Linked DNA regions of Drosophila melanogaster. The main gene of each other region encodes a partner of the protein of the gene in region 2 in a complex. Each region holds a gene or a part of one and is shown on either strand. Other genes may lie near its edges.

What was found.
Region 1: Wdr59 (region 2) and Wdr24 share a complex: the UniProt entries of both Drosophila melanogaster proteins name them as parts of the GATOR complex.

What each region holds. Positions count from the first base shown.
Region 1 is NT_033777.3:29,741,439-29,746,716, forward strand, and holds Wdr24 (WD repeat domain 24), read right to left. Parts: upstream 3,655-5,278; 5' UTR 3,562-3,654; coding exon 3,444-3,561; intron 3,386-3,443; coding exon 2,746-3,385; intron 2,684-2,745; coding exon 2,351-2,683; intron 2,298-2,350; coding exon 2,213-2,297; intron 2,153-2,212; coding exon 1,997-2,152; intron 1,940-1,996; coding exon 1,481-1,939; intron 1,415-1,480; coding exon 1,229-1,414; intron 1,166-1,228; coding exon 809-1,165; 3' UTR 534-808; downstream 1-533. Other genes in the region: Gnpnat (Glucosamine-phosphate N-acetyltransferase), read left to right, coding at 260-301; IntS11 (integrator 11), read left to right, coding at 4,032-4,245, 4,325-5,278. UniProt on the Drosophila melanogaster protein: An essential component of the GATOR subcomplex GATOR2 which functions as an activator of the amino acid-sensing branch of the mTORC1 signaling pathway.
Region 2 is NT_033779.5:11,089,611-11,095,622, reverse strand, and holds Wdr59 (WD repeat domain 59), read right to left. Parts: upstream 4,180-6,012; 5' UTR 4,057-4,179; coding exon 3,745-4,056; intron 3,682-3,744; coding exon 3,471-3,681; intron 3,415-3,470; coding exon 3,131-3,414; intron 3,071-3,130; coding exon 2,897-3,070; intron 2,842-2,896; coding exon 988-2,841; intron 861-987; coding exon 786-860; 3' UTR 527-785; downstream 1-526. Other genes in the region: CG16854 (uncharacterized protein), read right to left, coding at 5,204-6,012. UniProt on the Drosophila melanogaster protein: A component of the GATOR complex, which functions as a regulator of the amino acid-sensing branch of the mTORC1 signaling pathway.

The DNA.
Region 1 (5,278 bases), on a different chromosome or scaffold from region 2:
GCACCCCATCTCAAAGTTACAAATGCGCGAAGCGCAATGCAACAAAACTAAAATTGGATTCTAAGAAAACATTAAATGCATATAGGCATTGCCAAAATTCCATTGCGCTGAGGGCATGATGGATTTTTGGACAGCGCTGGCTGGCGGTGGTGTCCTTGTGGACGGACGTGCTTGTCCACCCACCCGCGAGGACATACAATTAGATATTTAGTTAAAGACAACCGCAACATATGTTGCTCTCTGTTTTTAATCCCTACAGAACTCTCAATTTTATAATTTTTTCTCCCCTTTCTGCTACTGAATGTGCGGCTCGACCTCTCAACTCCAAGGTGGTTGTAATATTACCTTTTAAGAGCACCTTCATCAAGTAGCCCTAAGATTGAAACACTCGCATAACTGTTAAACTGTTATTAACACTAATCAACAATAGCGATTAAAACCCAATACGAATCTTTCAAAAACCTTTAATGATTGAAGAAATTCAATAAAGTGGACACTTTTTTCAAAAGCCCAGAATGTTTATAAACTTACTTGCATCAACAGACAACAGTTTTATTTTCCAATATTTCAAAAAAAGTTAAGTAACAAACATTTGTGCTATTTAAAGTTGCAGAAGATCGATTAAACCTGTCTGTTAATTTACTTCACAAACGTTGAGCTTATTTTACAAGTTTACATCTTCGAGCTACATTTATATAAAAATCTGTTTAGTGTCTAGTGCAAGGTACTTATTGGGCTTAAGTCTTCTCTATTTACAAGGCTCTCAAATGGGGGGCAAAAGCTGGGCAAACCCAGCCTCCTCCGCGTCTCATGAGTACGCGCAAAGGTGTCCGCACTTGGGGCACTTGGAGTGTTTGGCAAAGTACTTCTGCAGGTGCTCTATGTGACCGCCGTGGGAGCATCCTTGGCACCAGGCGTAGACTCCCCGGACGATCAGACCGCAGACGCAGCACTTGGCGGACTGCATGGACTTGCACTTGTCGCAGTACCATCCCACCTTGCCGCCCATTGGACGTCCACACTCTCCACAGTTCGTGTGCATGGCGGTCGAGTGCTGGTTGAGCTGCTGCACCGATCTCAGCCAGGAGCGGTTGATAACCTCGCAGGCCTCGTTCCACAGCTCATAGCGATGCAGCTGGTCCACGTAGGTGTAAAACCAGTGCTCCTGAAAAGGAAGAAAACCGGATGAATAACTCCGTTCTGATCCCAACTTTGTCTTTGAACTCACCACCAATGCATCGTCAATGGGCAGGAGCTTCCGAGCTTCTCCCAGCGCTATAAGGACTGTCAGAGCTGTTTGCACATCGCCCACATCGTTCATTAGCATGAGGGCATCGGAGACGAACTTATGCGGTTCCCACATGGGTATGGGCGGGACATGGCTGACTTTTAGGACAGTGGGAACATGCGGTGGCTAAAAAGAGGATGAATAAGTTAGTTAAGCTGTAAATACATCGAGTTCTCAATAATCTCAACTAACAGGTGACTTTTCGTGATCGGACGCCTTGAGATCCAGTTGTGGTCGTGCAGCCTGCACATCGTGATGAAGGGCGGGGAAGGCCAAAGCTTTCGGGCATTCTGTGGGACCCACGTAGATAAACCCATTGCGCAAGAGCTCAAAGTTGTCAAAGGTAATCTCGCTGATGATTTGCGTTTCGGACAGAATCACTGAGCTCGTAGGCGGATGCTCCACACCACTGCTGCCGAGCGTATCATCGTCCACATTCGCCACATCAATTTCGTGGGCTGTTTCCGGCGTGTTTCCATTGAGATCCTGGCCTAGTTCAGTTCGCTGCTGTGGCCAATCGCTGGCTACTTGCGTGGCACGTCGTGAGTTCATTGGATTCTTTTGATTCGAGAAGGAGGAGCGGTGCTCGAAGGGAGGCTCAAAGTGATTGCTGCCGTAGAACAATTTGATAAAGTTCCACAATGTGGTGGCCTGAAAAATGTAGATGCTAAGTTTTGGCAAATTTTGGGAATAATCTCAAGCGCTTACATTATGTTTGCCGTATTTCTTGGAAACCTCTGCATTGTGCTCGCATAACTCCGATAGTTTTTTCCCACTGATAACAAGTTCCCTGGCACAGCCAATAAAACTTTCGTGTTCTTGGGTGGGTCTTGAAACAGATTCGCTTAGGGGATAGCCGGAAAACTGAAATATATCAATTAGTATCAGATTTGGCAAAGAAATCCCTAATAGTGTCATACTAACCGTGTCGTTTACCATGAATTTGTACATTTTGGAATGGTCCAAATGGAACTGAATGCTGCCAGCCACATTCGTCTTACGGCGACTTCTAAAATACACATACATATAAACATACAAGTTGATACAACAAATACGACATACATGAAGCTAGAAGACTTGGTATTGGATGCACCGCTGGTCTTGGGTTCATACTCCTTGATCTTGTTGGCAAAGGAGATGTCCCCAAATCTGCCCAGGCTAGCTCCCTGGGCATTTGCCTTCAGCGCTGGCCTCGTGGCATCCTTAAAAGCATGTTTGTAAATGGTGGAGTCCTTGCTGATGGACAGAAGACAGTGCGAGTCGCTGCCCTGCCACGCAATTCCAGTAGTCACATTGGTGTGCTCGTTGAAGGAGGCAAAGGGGATGTAGGGTCTGCGGATGTCCCACACATGAACGCTGTAGTCCACCACAAGGGCACAACTAGCGATGTGATAACTGGAAAGGATTAAACAGATTTAATATAAATAAGACTGTTAAACCTGGCTAGAAAAACCTACGTTCTTTCTGGTCGCCACTTAACCCGTCCCACTACGGCGATTGTGTGAATGGTGTGCTCCAATCCCGGCCTGCCATCCATGTTCCACACCTTGATCTGCTTGTCCCGACTTCCGGTGGCCAGCCAATTCCTTGTGGGATGCCAGTCGCATGTGTAGACTGGCCCGTAGTGCGCCGTAAACTGCACCATGCACTTGTCCCACTTCCGCATGTCCCACAACTGGACAGTTCCATTCTCGGAGACGGCGGAGAATATGTTTTGTGTGTGTGGACTGAACTTGACATCCCGCACTGATTCCGAGTTGCAGAAGTAGGTGTTGATTGACTTATCCGATCGGATGTCGAAACACTTGATGGTGCCATCCTGAGAACCGGAGATCAGGATGTTGGGCTCGCTGCTGTGAAAGGTCACGGTATGAGCGGTGCGCTCATGTTCGTTGTAGACAAGCAGCTGCTTCTGCCTGCCGAACTTGGAGAGATCCCACACGGAAACCACTCCGTTCGTGGCCGCCGTAGCCAAAAGATTGCTATCCAAGGTGGACCAGGCCACATCGTTGGCGGAGTAGCTAAGATTCTGGTTCTTTCCGCGCATATTACACGATTCCGTGAAGCCATTGCTGTTTATGGAGTACACCTTAAGCACTGTTCGGAAGCAAATTATGTGTATTTATAGAAAGACCTTGGGCAATTCTAATCTTACAGCTTCTTCCGGCCAAAGCAATCTGGTTGTTGTCCTTATTCAGGGCCAGGGCGTTCGCGTGTCCTTCCAGGCATATCCGCAGCGAGATTGTGGAGGTGTCCTCCACGGAATCGGGCATCCTGCAGCAGTTGCAAGTTCGCCCGCAGAAAGCAAAACAGTGATTTGATAAGACAAGACGCTATCTTTTATTTTCCTTTCGGTTCAGTATGACCGTTTCTCGAGCGGCAAACCATTGGCGCGAGTGTTCCCAAATGCAGATGTTGAATATTGTTTGAACAAAAGACTTATTGTACTAAAGTTGTATTATTCACATATAATTAATGTATTCTATACATATACAGACAGAAACATTAATTTCAATTAAGCTATTAAATTCTTTGAAACTTCTTGGAACACTCCAATAAGATCTGCCAGTTGGAGCGCGTCGTTGCCGGACCATCCACACCGACGGAGTGGCAACGCCATTCGTGCGGCCTTGCTGTTTACAAAAATCACGGTCGACTTTTTCGACAATTTCATTTACCAGCGCAACAAGTGGCCGCAAGAAAGCAGGAGAGTGGAGCCGGGTGATCCTGATCCCTTCCAGAAATGCCGGACATCAAGATAACGCCCTTGGGCGCCGGCCAGGATGTGGGCCGCAGCTGTCTGCTGCTCTCGATGGGCGGGAAGAACATAATGCTCGACTGCGGGATGCATATGGGCTACAACGACGAGCGCCGCTTCCCGGACTTCTCCTACATAGTGCCGGAGGGTCCGATCACCAGCCACATTGACTGTGTGATCATCTCGCACTTCCACCTGGGTGAGTCTCGGCCTCCCAAAGGCGCTCTTATCTGGTCAACTGGCTCTAATCGTTTCTTTATCGATTGCATGCATTCCAGATCACTGCGGGGCCTTGCCCTACATGTCAGAGATTGTGGGCTACACGGGGCCCATCTACATGACGCATCCGACCAAGGCCATAGCACCCATCCTCCTGGAGGACATGCGGAAGGTGGCCGTAGAGCGGAAAGGCGAGTCGAACTTCTTTACCACCCAGATGATCAAGGACTGCATGAAGAAGGTGATTCCCGTCACACTTCACCAGAGTATGATGGTGGACACGGACCTTGAGATCAAAGCCTACTATGCAGGCCATGTCCTGGGCGCCGCCATGTTCTGGATCAAGGTGGGCTCCCAGAGCGTTGTCTACACGGGGGACTACAACATGACTCCAGACAGGCATCTGGGAGCCGCCTGGATAGACAAGTGCCGGCCGGACTTGCTGATCTCCGAGAGCACCTACGCCACTACCATTAGGGACTCGAAGCGGTGTCGCGAGAGGGACTTCCTCAAGAAAGTTCACGAGTGCGTGGCTAAGGGCGGCAAGGTTTTAATCCCTGTTTTTGCCCTGGGTCGCGCCCAGGAGCTGTGCATCCTGCTGGAGACGTACTGGGAGCGCATGAACCTCAAGTACCCCATATACTTTGCTCTGGGTCTTACCGAGAAGGCCAATACCTACTACAAAATGTTCATCACCTGGACGAACCAGAAGATCCGCAAGACCTTCGTTCACCGCAACATGTTCGACTTCAAGCACATCAAGCCCTTTGACAAGGCCTACATCGACAATCCTGGCGCGATGGTAGTGTTCGCCACGCCAGGCATGCTGCACGCAGGTCTTTCCCTGCAGATCTTCAAGAAGTGGGCGCCGAATGAGAACAACATGGTGATTATGCCCGGCTACTGTGTGCAGGGAACCGTGGGCAACAAGATTCTCGGTGGCGCCAAGAAGGTGGAGTTCGAGAACCGCCAGGTGGTCGAGGTCAAAATGGCCGTGGAGTACATGAGCTTCT
Region 2 (6,012 bases):
AGATAGTTAATCTATGACCACAAACACATTTATAAATACACGCTTGTAGTTAAGTCCAAAAAGAAGTTAGTATGCTAAAAAGCTCTCAGCTAAGTTCATCCCTTAAAAAGTTGAAATTGAATCTATGCCTTTCATTTTATTGTTTATTTGTTTTGTGCGTGATTTGTTTATAGTAAGGCCGTATATCTAATGTTTATGTCGCTATATCAAAATTGTATTATCTTTATAATGATTCGCCTACTAAATTGCAATATATTTTTTTATTATTTTATTTTTGCGTTCCTTTTATTTTCCTTTTTATCTTTATGACGCTTAATGAACAAAAGAAAACACACAAAAACAAGAATAGGAGCTGTAGAAACTTATTTAAAAATTATTTTCAAAACTAAAGCAAACTTTATTATGACGGACAAAACAAAAAAATTATTAGATTGCAAATGCAAAAACTACAAGTAAATCGTAGAATTTAAGCTAAAAAAAAAAAAAAAAAACAGAAAGCAAAAGTCGATAATAAAAAAGAATAAATGTATGTACTTGAAAAAATCTAGAAACAGTTCTTTTTGAATTATCGTAACCATATGATTTTGGTTAAGTGTATAGTTGCATAAAGCTTTTACCCTTAGCTTGGCTAGTAAGTGGTCATATATTTCTCAATGGTATGCAAATCGTACAAAAATTGTTGGCCTAATGACTAAAAAACACCTAACTATTTTGATATCCACACAGACGAAAGAAAGTTAAGTAAGATTATTTTTGAAAGGAATGCACATCACTCAAGGTCTGAATCAGCTGAGTAGGGCTAGCAGCTCTGAGGTGCGCTCCAAGCACTTGCAGCCACACGTAGCACAGACATTGTGTTTCTGAAAGTTAAACAAGAAAATAGCAAACATGAATATATTTATATCCATAAATCCATAAATCCAAATCCATACATCGTTTGGTTCGTGAAAAAGAAACCAGTCGAATCAAACTCAAATAGATACCAACCTCAAACCACTGCATCATGTGATCAATGTGACCGCCATGGCCACAAGCCAGACACGCATTGGCTGCTCCTTTCACAGGCAAACGGCAGAGGACGCAGAAGAGTACGGGTCGCTTGCAGGGCTCGCATTTGGGCGTCCGTTTGGGCTTGGCACACTTCCTGCACTCGGTAACGAATTCCACACCCTGGACTGGAGGTGGTGTATTCTGCGTGTGCTTGAGGATCAAAGCCCGCTTCGAAAGCAACTGCCAGCCAAATAAAATTTCGGCATAGGCGCGCTTAAATTGATCAAACAGTGGCATCTTAGTCCGTCTAATCAATGAGCAAGCGTATGCATCAGACTGGATTTGCTTAATCTCCAAATCCAGGGAGTCGGACCAAGAGTTGCTGCGTAGTTGCTTAAGTTGCTGCCAAGTGTTCGATGAAGAAGATGACTTGACGTCAAGCGGCAGGACCGTGTGATACGGTGAAATTTGCGAGTTAAGCTGCGGCGGAAGTCGAACTGTCTTCTCCATAATGGCACCGCCACCCGTGGGGCACTTGTCAAACAAACAAGCCAGCAGCACAGCAGTCTGTATGTCACCGGAGATAGCATAATGCATTATTAGTGATTCCAGCAGAGATTTCTTGAAGGGATCTTTGTAGAACAGCAGATCGTTGAGTGTTTCATGTGGAATTTGGGGTGTGGCTATCAGTTCCGCCAATAGCCACACGGGCACCAAGTCCAAGCGCCCATGCTGGCGACAGATCTCACCATTTTTACGACACGTTTCTGCTATGTTGCACTTATCGAGGGAGAACTCCCGAGCCATTCTCCGACTAATGTGGAGTAAGCTACTTGTGTCGTATACGTGAACCACCGGACTTCCATTCATCTGTCGGATGGCTCGCTGCTTGCCCGGTTTTCCCGAAATCATCCTCTCCTGGAGGTAAAAGGAGGCGTTAGCTTCCCTCTGGGCGGTGGCCATCACATTGCCTAGCAATCCACTACCATTAATCGATGAAAAAGTCCGTGGAGTCAATGCGGTGTGTTGCCGCAGGGTCAGCCTTTTGTTGTTCACTGGTTGGGCGAAAGTGGTCAGCATACCAATGGCATTGAAATGGACCCCTGACGTCCGCGGATATGGAATGCAGGCATCGTGCAGGGTGCTCGACAAAGCTCCTTCCAGCCGAGGGGATTGCAGGAGCAGTTGGCTACGATCCGCTCCGCCTACAGCGGCCACCTTTTTCTTCATAGCCGCCACTAGAGCACGTAGGCATTGTTCCAGGCACGTGCGGGATTTCTTGACCCGTTGCAATGCATTGCAACGGAGCACTTTTAGCAGAACTCCACTAACTTCACTGGACAGAGTGGTTCCCTGGCAAAGCTGAAAGTCCGGCGGAGCACTAGGACTTGGATACGATGTCGTGAAAGTCACTTGTAAAATAACCGTGTGTCCACCGGCGCAAATCTTGAAGCAGGCGTACCGCTTTATGGCATCTAGTGTGTCTACCTCCACATGAGGCATGTTTGTGTTGAGCAGCGAGAATTCGTGGTGCAGCGAACACGTGGGTTGATCTGTTAGTGATCTGGCTATGTGGGGCTCTTCCCTGCGATAGTAGCCACCTCCAAAGCTCGGGGAGCGAGCCATGGGCAAGGTATTACAAGCACCGTCACCCGTGGATATGGGCAACGAAGCGGCAACCAAAATTGATCGTGGATGCAGGAATTCTGGAGGAGTAGGCACTCTTAACTCACTGAGATCGGGCTCGAAACGGGATTCTATTTCTTCCGCAGACGGTTCGCAAAGCTTTAGCATATTATCATCGATCTTCCACACCCGCAGCGTGCGATCCCTGGACCAAGTGACCAGTTCCTAATTAAAGCTCAATGCATAAGTAAGAACATTGTGGTATCTTTAAAATACTTACTATTTCATTGGAACTTTCACGATTTGGACGCCAGGCAAAGTCAAGAATGACATCGGTGTGCCCCACGAAGGAACAAATAGGGTCCGTTTGCTTGCTGTTGCTCCAGAGCAGCAAACTATTCTCTCCGCGTCCCAAATGGGGCACCACAATGCTAACCAGACCGTTGCCAATAGGCTGTATGGAACAAGATGTATTTAGAATAGCAATCAATATTGATAAACCAATATAAATTACCGTGTATCTCGCTCTCCAAACGGGCGACATGGTTGTAATGATCTTCTCGGCCCTGCGAGGATTACATACATCAAAGTACTTGACCGTTCCATCCTGACTGGCGGTTGCCAAGCAGGTCTCCCTTTTGTGGCTCCAATTGATGCCATGCACTCTATTTAAATGTGCTGTGATATAGTGCGTCGGGCAACTACCCTTGCGAATATCCCAGATGCGTAAATCTCCATCATGGGCAGCAGCCAAAAGGTTGCCCGAAACGCGGTTGAATCCCACTTGTGTAGCACCAGCTGAAAGAATTTTAAATATAATATAAAAAAGTTGAAATTATTTTGTAGAAACTTACACATGCACACGGCATTCAAGGACAGGGCTGGTTTCCTGGGCTCCCTTAAGTCCCAAATATGAGAAAATGTGTCTATTGAGCAGCTGACCAGCAGATTCGGATCCTTGCCGTGCCAGTCAATGTCGGTCACTGTTCGAGTATGCCCACGCAAGGACATCTCGTAGTGTGGTTCCGCAGTGCCCCAGCGAACGATGTCTATGTGCTGGCTAGTCTGAAATTCAAAGGTCAAACTGGGATAAACGCCGCCTATACGTAGATAACTTTATGTATTTACCGCTATGGCGCAGTACTCTTTGCGACTGGGACATATGGCAAACTCTGCTACGGACACCTCGTACTTCGATTGCCGTTCATGTCGTCGCAGAGACCCATCGTCCTGTCCCAAACGCTGCAAAGCCAGGTGACCACGGCCCGCGAGGAGCACCCACTGACCCGAGTAATCAACCGACATGGCCGTGGCCTGGGAATCTCGGTGTTCATAGTATTTGTTGCTCTGCCTGACGATGTACGTTTGTTCGGGTGCTCCTGCTCCCGGTCCACCGGCTGTTCCGCGTTCTCCCGGACGCAGTGTCTCCGTGGGCGGCATATTGTCCTACTCTAATAAGTGCTCAAAAAGCAAAAGACTGCGAATTTAAACCATTTTTGCAACAAACAAAAATTAAACGAAGAAACTGAACTGATAAGAACGATAGACAATAACAACAGGCGTCTGTGTTGGCAATTAAGCATTTTTTCCGACAAATGAATTTCCAGGACCTCGTTAAGCTGGCTATTTTTCAATAATGCTGTTGCTATAGTTTTTGATAATATATTAAAAAAATTACAAAATTAAACTAGAACATTATATGAAAAAATTGTACCTAATATTTTGTCGCAAAAGTTTGTAACACCCATAAATCTAGCTGGAATAACGACAGCACAACTATAGCTGAAAATGTTGTTTTTTCGATAGTATCGATAAAATTGTGGTTATAGCTATCGGGATTTGAATTTATGATATAAAACAGGTAAACGAGCTCAGAGCAAAATTTATAATTTTATATATATGGTCTTGTTAAATAAAAACGTTCGATTTTTTTTATAGATTTATTACATTTTATAAATTGTCAATCACCAAAAATATACATGTGCATTGGTTCATAAATGTTATGAAAATTATTAAAGTACGTGGCTAAATATAATTTAGCATCTAAATAAATTTGTAACTAGAAAGGGATATTCCCAATTGACTCATTTATAAAAAGTTCATCCTATTATTCATTTATTAACTCAGCATAAGGCTATAAATCATGAGATACTAAACAAAAAGTGCATTATATATGTATATAACAACTCAATTATGGTCTACAACATTAAGTGCTACATATTTTGGATACTATTATTTATTTATATGTTCGCCACTTCCCTCCCTAGTCAGTAATAGCTTATCATTTATTTTACATACACAAAGTAATTCTGCGGTTATTACGATTATTAGTTCATTCAGTTTATTGTCCTCTAAGTTAGTGGGAAATAAACAAATTCCGCTCAACTACCGTGACTACATAGGTGCCTAAGACTGGGAACTCCTTACGGCAAAGGCTAAAATTGGATAAGTATTTTTATACAAACATTGGCTATTTCATAGAAATAAACTAGGTTTTATGGCTAAGGCTACGTTAATGGGTTTCAAGTCTTTGACGTCAAACACATCCTCCCCATCCCCGAAAGCTCCCAGTTACATTGCCATTGCCTTATCTGTGGCAATAGCAGAACATTTTTAGCGCCGGATCGTTGAGACAGTAGCTCTGGCTTCCGTACAGATTCAGACGACTAATGGTGCCCGTTAGTACGGTCGTATAGCCCGTCATCCGCACCGTGGACTCAAACACACCCAGCCCGGGCTTCGTCTGCAGTCGCAGGGTGATGTCCACTGCGTAGTCCGTGGAAATGTTCTTCACAATCTTCGAGTGCGGCGCTGCAATCAGAGCCTGGAGTATGGAGTTCAGGTATAGGGTTCTGCACTGTGAGCTATCCTTCAGTCGGTTATTGATCAAGCGTACCAGATAGCGCGCCGCCCGCTGGACACGTGGATCGTTTGTCTGCAGCTCCTGGCGCTGATGGCAGGTGCACCAGTGGGCGGCAATCCCTGCCTGCTCGCAGGTCCGAGCAGCCGGGATGGGCAGGAATAGGCTAATGCCTCTGGGCAGCGTGCTATCCGGCTCGTCCATCTCTGTTGATCTGCGTTGCAACTGATCTGCCTCCAGATTGTGAAGATTTAGCAGCTGCAACATTGTCGCGTGCACATCAAATGGTGTGGTTAGCCGGCGGGCATTTAACCTAAGATTGGCAATTGCCTCCGGATAACGCTCGGTCATCCATGGCGGATACAAAAGCATCATTAGGGGCTGGCGCTCCTCCATCATGCCCTGGTAGGTACGACGAAAGGAACCCCATCTCAGTCCGTGATCGGATAGCAACATTACCACCGTGCGATTGAGCAATCCGGAATCTTGCAGCTGCATCAACTGTTGCAACATGGCCTCATCCAGTAGTGAGGGGA